2 linked regions of the Ovis aries genome follow. The protein of the gene in region 1 binds, or shares a complex with, the protein of each later gene. Links are inferred from orthologs where the notes say so. Each region holds a gene or a part of one and is shown on either strand. Other genes may lie near its edges.

The links.
Region 2: the proteins of AP1M1 (region 1) and AP1S1 are in contact, whole or in part, in a crystal structure (PDB 1W63), measured with the Mus musculus proteins. The link is inferred for Ovis aries from reciprocal best matches to the Homo sapiens genes AP1M1 and AP1S1. Residues at the interface, in NP_031482.1 of Mus musculus: Lys12, Glu31, Asn186, Asn188, Val189, Leu190, Glu232, Glu234, Asn270, His272, Arg421; in NP_031483.1 of Mus musculus: Lys26, Lys30, Arg33, Glu34, Gln37, Lys43, Glu51, Trp52, Arg53, Asp54.

The regions. Positions count from the first base shown.
Region 1 is NC_056058.1:6,573,018-6,576,248, reverse strand, and holds the end of AP1M1 (AP-1 complex subunit mu-1), read left to right. Parts: intron 1-565; coding exon 566-691; intron 692-1,418; coding exon 1,419-1,494; intron 1,495-1,664; coding exon 1,665-1,687; 3' UTR 1,688-2,500; downstream 2,501-3,231. UniProt on the Homo sapiens protein: Subunit of clathrin-associated adaptor protein complex 1 that plays a role in protein sorting in the trans-Golgi network (TGN) and endosomes.
Region 2 is NC_056077.1:36,001,670-36,006,085, forward strand, and holds the end of AP1S1 (AP-1 complex subunit sigma-1A), read right to left. Parts: intron 4,091-4,416; coding exon 3,982-4,090; intron 2,746-3,981; coding exon 2,407-2,745; 3' UTR 1,373-2,406; coding exon of another isoform or gene 1,325-1,372; 3' UTR 596-1,324; downstream 1-595. UniProt on the Homo sapiens protein: Subunit of clathrin-associated adaptor protein complex 1 that plays a role in protein sorting in the late-Golgi/trans-Golgi network (TGN) and/or endosomes.

The sequences.
Region 1 (3,231 bases):
GGGTGGCCGTTTCCTCCTCCAGGGGATCTTCCTGACCCAGGGATCGAACCAGCATCTCCTGCATTGGCAGGTGGATTCTTTACCACTGCACCAGCAGGGCAGCCATTCCTTCCCCCGCTACAAGTCCCAGCTCTGGAGTCCGCTTCCAGGGCCAGAGCCTTTCCCTTCCAGGGGGAGACCTAGGGCCAGCTCGTCAGTCCCAGGCAGCCCTGTCGCCCCGTGCCAGCGCTCGCTCTTCCTCTCCCTCCTTCCTCCCCAAGGCCTAGTGTTCTTCTTTTCCTCGACGCAACTAGGCTTCTGTGCCTGGGAACTTGTAGCAGTTTCTCTTCATCCTCAGAATTAGAGGATGAATTTTCCCTAGCGGGGCTGGTGTGGGCAGCCCAGGAGGCTTAGAGGATAAGGTAAGTGTGAGTGTGTTGCAGGAGCCGAGGCCCAGGGTGGCCACAGACCGTGCAGGAAGGGACTCGTTGGCCAGGCCCTCAGCCTGGCATTCTCCAGGGGCAGCTGTTGGATGGACCTGCCAGGGCCTCCGCCTGACCATCTCCTCTGTGGTCTGCTCCCGCAGGGCGGCAAGGAGTACCTGATGCGGGCCCACTTTGGCCTGCCCAGCGTGGAGGCAGAGGACAAGGAGGGCAAGCCCCCGATCAGCGTCAAGTTCGAGATCCCCTACTTCACTACCTCTGGCATCCAGGCACGTGCAACCAGGGCAGCCGGGGCCCCGGGGCAGACATGGACAGGCCCAGCGGGGCCTCTCAGGGGCCAGGCACCAGTCCAGGCTCAGAGGGTTGAAGGTGACAGACACGAGTGCAGCCAGTTAGCGAAGGGTGCTAGCTGACTCGTCCCAGCACTCCAAGCTGCTCCCCAGCCCTGCCCATCTCCGTGGGCGCCCTGCCCATCTCCGTGGCCGCCCTGCCCGTCTCCGTGGCCGCCCTGCCCGTCTCCGTGGGCGCCCTGCCCGTCTCCGTGGGCGCCCTGCCCGTCTCCGTGGGCGCCCTGCCCGTCTCCGTGGGCAGCCTGGCCCTGATGGAAAGAGGCCTGCAGTGGTCTGCTCACACCTGACCTGTGCTCCAGGCTCAGAGATGCATTCAGCCCCCAAAACTAATGTCCACACACTTGCCGCTGTGGGGTCCATTTTCCTGGCACCTCCACGGAAGCCCTGTATGGGGCAGAAAACCCTGGGATTGACCCCTTCTCTAGGAATCTGCTAGAGGGTCGTGCCTGCGAGTGCACATCTGGCTCTTGCCGCACCTTCTAGAAGCATCTCCACCCTCCCCCGGCCTGAGTGTGAAATAGACTAATGTGCTTCGCCCTCTCCCTCGCCCTCTTGGTCTCAGCCCAGCCCCAGGAGGAGTGGCTGGGTGGGCAGCCAGGAGTGGGGCCGCGTGTGCATGCTTAGGGCCCTGATGCCTGTGCCGCAGGTGCGTTACCTGAAGATCATCGAGAAGAGTGGCTACCAGGCCTTACCGTGGGTTCGCTACATCACTCAGAACGGAGGTGCGTGCGACCCGCCCTAGGGGCAGGGGGGGATTGCTGAAAAGGCCCCTGGTGGGCGTGCCTCTGTCCCCAGGGTGGTGCTCAGGGAGCAACCTCAGGGTCAGGGCAGGTGGGGCGGCCCCTCCTCCAGGGTCAGAGCAGACAATGGACGCCCCCCTCCCTCTTTGTAGATTACCAGCTCCGGACCCAGTGAGCAGCCGTGGTGGCCCACCCTCCCAGCCCGGAGGCTCCCGGTGGAAGCGCCTGCCCAGCCTGCTGGAGGGAGGGGCTCCCCTGGACCCTGGCGCCCCTCCAGGCTCCACCCAGGAGCCCCTCCTCCCAGGTGCACCTGCTCTGCCGCCGCCACTCTCACCTCCCAAGTCCCCTTTTCCCAGAAGAGGCTCATCTTCAAGAGGTCTTGTCTCTCAGTCCCTGAGTCAGTTTAGGGAGAAGGAAAGGCATCTTTCCCTCCAGAGGTCAAATACAGCCTTCTGTGCTGTTCCGCTCCCGGTCACAGAAAGAGTGGGAAGCACCGCCCGGGCCGCGCTCTGGCCAGGCTGGCAGGGCTGCCCTCGTGCTGCCACTCTGTTGGATGCCGTGGGTTTATCGAGCATTCCTAGATTTTGTCTCCGGCCGTCGCTGTGTATGTGATCCTCGCTGTCTGTGCCTCCCTCCCCCGTCCTGAAGCTCTCAGGCAGCACTTAGCGAGGACAGGCTTCCCCTTCCTCGCCCTCCTCCCCAGTGAGGCTGACACCGGTTTGCCCTCTCAGCACCTGGCGTTTCGACTAGAGGCTCCTGGTCTGGAGCTTTGAATAGAGACGCCTTCTCAGGGCCAGCCCGTGCCACATGATGCTGTCACTCAGCCACATCAGTGTTTGTCCCGCCAGGGGAAGAGGGGTCCAGCGCGGGCCCCCAGCCTCAGAGGGTGGGGGTCCCAGGCCATCCCCATCTGTGCTTGGACACCGCCGCCCCCAACCCTGTCCATGTTTGTGCCATGAGTACATTAAACTCCATCGGTTAAACATGCCTTCCGTCTGGTACAGCGTTGTGCTGACTCCTGGGTGCCCAGGAGAGGGGTAGGCGCACACCAACCTGAGTGGGGCACCAGTCCCTGGGGCCCCTATGTCCCCTGGGGAAGACGGGACCAGGCAATGAGCAAGCAGAGCCATTGCCCAGGGGCCTCCCAGAGGGGCTGCAGAGGGGAGGGCTCACGGGCAAACGTTTCCGTCCCGTCTGAGATGACCGTCACAGCCCTCGGCCCTCGGGCCACCAGCAGCCTGCTCCCCTCCGCAGCCCAGTGGGCTTCCTCAAGAGTGTGGTCCTGCTGCCAGCAGCATCAGTGTCCCCCCGCACGTGCAGGCTCACAGGCGCCCTCCTTTACCCGCCGTGGCAGTCTCTGGAGGTGGGGCCAGGAGACCGGCTAACAGGCTCTGCATGTGATTCATACGTGCCCTGGAGTCTGAGGACCGCGGCCTGGCGCCCCCTCCACAGGGGGGTCTCGGCAGGGCCGTGGGCAGAAGGCAGCTTGTCTGCCCACTGCAGTCACAGGCCTGCCCCCTGCTGCCTGCAGGGGCTGTGTCTCCCTTTCCCTCTCCCGTATCACCCAGCCCCGCCTTGGAGGTCTATTGGGCACCAACCCAAGTGGAGTCTTGATCATCTACCACATGGCAGAAAGAACGCTGCCCTGGCCCAGGGCTCAGGCCAAAGCCCTTATAGGCACCCTGATGCCCCACCCCTCACTGCCATGCCCGCATCTGC
Region 2 (4,416 bases), on another chromosome or scaffold:
CTCAGGGCCACCTAGGCAGTATGGGTGGCTCCCCACCGCCCCTGCTCCACCTTACCCACCCACCTTCCTTAACTGCTCCCTAAATTCCCTGGTCCTACCTACTTCACATGATCAACACTTCCTATGGGGAGGTATTGGCAGCTAAAAAAACATCCTGGTTTTAGCCGCTTGTCAAACCTTTTCTAAGCATATACATGCATCCTCAGCCATGTGCGATTCTTTGGCAAAACTGTGGACTGTAGCCCGCCAGGATCCTCTGTTCATGGTGTTTCCCAGGCAAGAATACTGGAGTGGGGAGCCATTCCCTTCTCCAGGGGATCTTCCTGACTCAGGGATTGAACCTGAGTCTCCTGCATTGGCAGGCGGATTCTTCACCACTGAGCCAGCAGGGAAGCCCTGCACAGGACACACTTATCCTAAAAAGGCATTATTCATTATTATAAGAAATTGAACTTGGTGTCCTCTTCCCCCCCCCCCCCTAAATCTGGCAATCCTAGTTCCAGGGAAGAGTGGAATGGAATGGGCAGGGTTCTGTTTCTGTCCTCACTGATTCCAGCAGCCCTGCCTTCCTTCACAGAGCCTAAGCAAGCCAAAGTCCAGAAATGCTTTTCCTTTTATTTCAGAGAAAGAAAAAGAATCAGACACTTTCCCCACCCCACCCCCTTAGCTCCTGCCTCACCCAGAATTTAAAGAGTGAAGGAGGGACAGGGCCCAGTCTCCTGTAAAGCCTGCCCTCCCCCCAGCCCTCCCTTCCCTCAAAGTAGCAAGGTTAGAAAAAAATTAACTATGCTGTTCCTCCCCGGGCACTGGACAGAGGCCCCACTGCAGCCAAGAAGGAAGGGGAGGGGCAGATGAGGGAAAAGGACTTCCCTCTGGAGACACAGAAGTCCCCCTCCCAGGCAGAGAGGCCGCCCCCGGCTGGCTGCGGGGAGGGCTGGAGGTAGGTTATGGGGCAGGGAGAAGAGAAGAGCCCTGAAAACCTTTTCCCTTTAACCTGACATATTTATATATTTACAGTTATAAGGATGGGGGAAGTTTGGGGTGACACTGGTTCTTCAAAGGCAGGGAATGAAAGCCAAATAGCACCCCCGACTTGGTCACATGTTCCTGCCTCCTAGCTCCTTAAAGCCTTCAGTGAGAAAAGGGGAAACAGGAGGTAGGGGTAGAAGGAGGGAATGCTTGAGGGTCCTGAGCCCACAGCTCACTGCAGAAAAAGGTGAGGCAGCAGAGCAGGCGCAGCTGGGTCCCAGCAGGAGGAAAAGGGCCACCAATGCCCCACCTCTCCACCAGATCCCCACATCTCCACTCGGCCCCAGGGCGAGGGCTATGCCAGACCCATCTCCTCCAGCACACTGCGTGGCGACTCATCCTCCTAAGGCAGAGACAGAGGGTGGTGGGGAGACACCAGGAGAGACGGGGTGAGGTTGAGGGGGGTGGGTGGGCAGCAATCACGAGGGCAGACCGGGGCAGGGGGGCGGACACAGAGACACAGGGGAGAGGGGAGAGAGAAGCCCAAGTAAGCCCAAGGCTGGAAAGGCCGGGGACCCTTCAGGGGAGCTGCCCAGCCTCCTGAGGCCTCCTTGTAGAGCCAACTGAGGCAACCAAACCGAGTCCACCACCACCCAGAGAACCCAAAGCCGGGAGCTCGTTGAGCAGGGGGCTCGACCTTATTAGCTGAAGGGAAGGGAGTAAAATGGGGGCTTGGGAGCTGGGAAACCTGCTTTCCCAGGGCTGGAGGTGGCAGATGGTTGGGTGGGACCTTTTTGTTTTTTCCCTCCAGAGTCGAGGGAGGCAGTAAGAAGTTGGCGTCAGGTCCCCGAGGAAAGTGGACCAGACTGCAGAGAGATGAGTCATAAGGGTCTGAGCAGAGCACTAGTAACAGGGTGGGTGTGCGAGTGCCAGGGCACATGTGTGTGTGTGTGTGTGTGTGTGTGTGTGTGTGTGTGTGTCTGTGTGTGTCTGTGTGAGATGGGGGACTAGACCAGTGAGGTAGCAAGTCAGATTCTACCCTCTCTCCGGCTGCACGGATGAGCACCCCCTCTCCCCCTCCTCAGAGCCGGCTCAGGCCGGCTTGCTCATCACTGCAGGTTCCGGTGACTCATCTCCTTGCACCAAGGCTCAGCAGCGGCACAGCAGAGAGGGGGCAGGCAGCAACGGGGTGAGGGCGGGGGTGTCGGACAGAAGGGAGGACCAACGACCAGGTGCCCTCCACCCAAACCCTGAAATCCCCAGGGCAAAACTCTGCTTCTCAGCAGCAGAGGCTTTGGGTATGTGTGTGTGTTTTTAAAAAAGGGAAGACACCAGGGAAGAAAAAGAATGACCTATTGTGTGCCCCTTCTCCAATTCTCCGGGCAACCCTAAACACCAAGAGAAGCATGGGACAAAAGCGGGCTGTCTGGCCCCCAACTACCTCCTACCCTGAGCAGTCAGGGCTTGAGGCCCAGCTGGCCAACCTGGCAGCGTGGGGGCCAAACGCCACAGGGAAGGGGGGCCGTTTCGGTAGCGGCGGGAAGAGGGCAGCTGGGGTCCACAGGTGAAGGGTCCAGGGTAGGGAGGGTGCCCTCGGCCACGGTCCTCTTCCTCCTCCTCACTGTCCCGGACCCGTACCTCCTGCAGTAGGTCCGCCTGCTCGATGGCCTTCAGCACACTCTTCTTGGAAGTGTCCTGGACGTCTCCCCCCATCAGAAACTCATCCAAGATGAAGTAGGCCTTCTCAAAGTTGAAGATGATGTCCAGCTCGCAAACCTGGGGGGCGGGGGAGGAGGCAGAGGTGAGGGTCAAGGTGCGTTCTCCCCCCTCGCCTGCGCCCCAGCCTCCCCAGCTCTTTCCCCACCTTGGCTCCGTGGCCTTCATGACCACTCTCCACCTTGGGTTCTTGCCCCAGGTCTATGTCCTCCTGACCCCTAGGCTTTCATCCTGGGTTCAGCTTTTCCTTCTCCTTTTCTCTTCCTCTGTGATCATGAGATATTAGTTGCTCAAGTCTACCCTTGACCCTGACTCTTGTTGCCTTCTCCCCTAAATCTATGACACAAATCCTACCAGAGGTTGGGTCGGCCTCCCCACCCATCCCCACCCCACTCCCTGCACCCCAAGGTGCTGTGACAGGGCAGGGAAGGAGACTCTGGGTCACAGAGTAAACGGCTTCAATTCTAGGCCACACTCTGACACTAACCAGCTAACTCTTGTTTTAGTCGCTAAGTCGTGTCCGACTCTTTTGTGACCTCATATACTGCAGCCTGCCAGGCTCCTCTGTCCATGCAACTTCCCAGGCAAGAATACTGGAGTGGGTTGCCATTTCTTTCTCCAGGGGATCTTTCCAACCCAGAGAACGAACCCACGTCTATTGCACTGGCAGGCGGATTCTTTATCACCAAGCCAGGAAAGCCTGGAAGGAAACCAGCTAACTCGACATGCCATTTAACTTCTCTTGAGTCCGTTTTCTCTTCCAAAAATGGAGACACCAACACCTACTCATGGAATGAGAAGCAAACAGGAGAACCTGAAAGCTCTTTGTAAACTGTTAAGTGAAACACAAGTTATGGTTATTACTATTCCCCATCTAAGATATGAGCTCACTGCCAGTGCCCAGGCTGTAGCCCAGATCAGTTCATTCAGAATCTCTGGGGGTGATTCCCAGGCATCGCTATTGTTTAAAAAAAACTATCCAGAAGTCTCCAAAGCAAAGTCAAGGTTAGGAACCACTGATACTATCTGAACATGACCTCTGTCTTTGTGTGGGAAGTTTGAGCTGAGCTGTAGATGGATTGATTAAGTGGCAGATTCTGGTTCCCACCCTTCTCCCATGGGGGCCTGATTAAGACGCATGGCTAATAGGCTTAAGGCTTAAAGAGGGAGATTAATTACTGTTCTCACTGTTCCAACTTCCCCTTTCCTGAGTCAGAACAGAGACTGGAAGGGTCCGAGTCTGGTAGAAAAAGAGGATTGCTGAGCGCGGAAACTGGGGTGGGTGGAGAGACTTACGCTGCCAAAGTATTTGTCCAGGAGCTCCACGTATCGGTGGATCAGCTCCAGCGTGATGAGCTCATTGTCTTGGCCCTCGATGGCACAGCAGAAGTAGAGGCTGGCGTATCTGAGGACGGGGACACCGGAGGGATGGATGGCTGGGTGTGCTGCCGGGGCTGCTTCGGGACCCAGGCATTCTGTGCCCCAACCTCCCATTTCCCCCATTCCTGATCTGTGTCCTTACTGGACACAGGCGGGGTGGCTCCAGGGTAAGAAAACGTCACTCACTGTGTCTCTTAGTGCCTCTCATAAACACAGGCAAAGAAACAAGCTCTTTCCCTCTGACCCATTCAGTTTGACTCAGCAAAAACCTGAGCCAACAAATTCACCTGCTCAGAGGAGGAACCACAAATGGTTTGTGTGTCTGGGGGTGTGTGTATTGGGAAAGTGGCC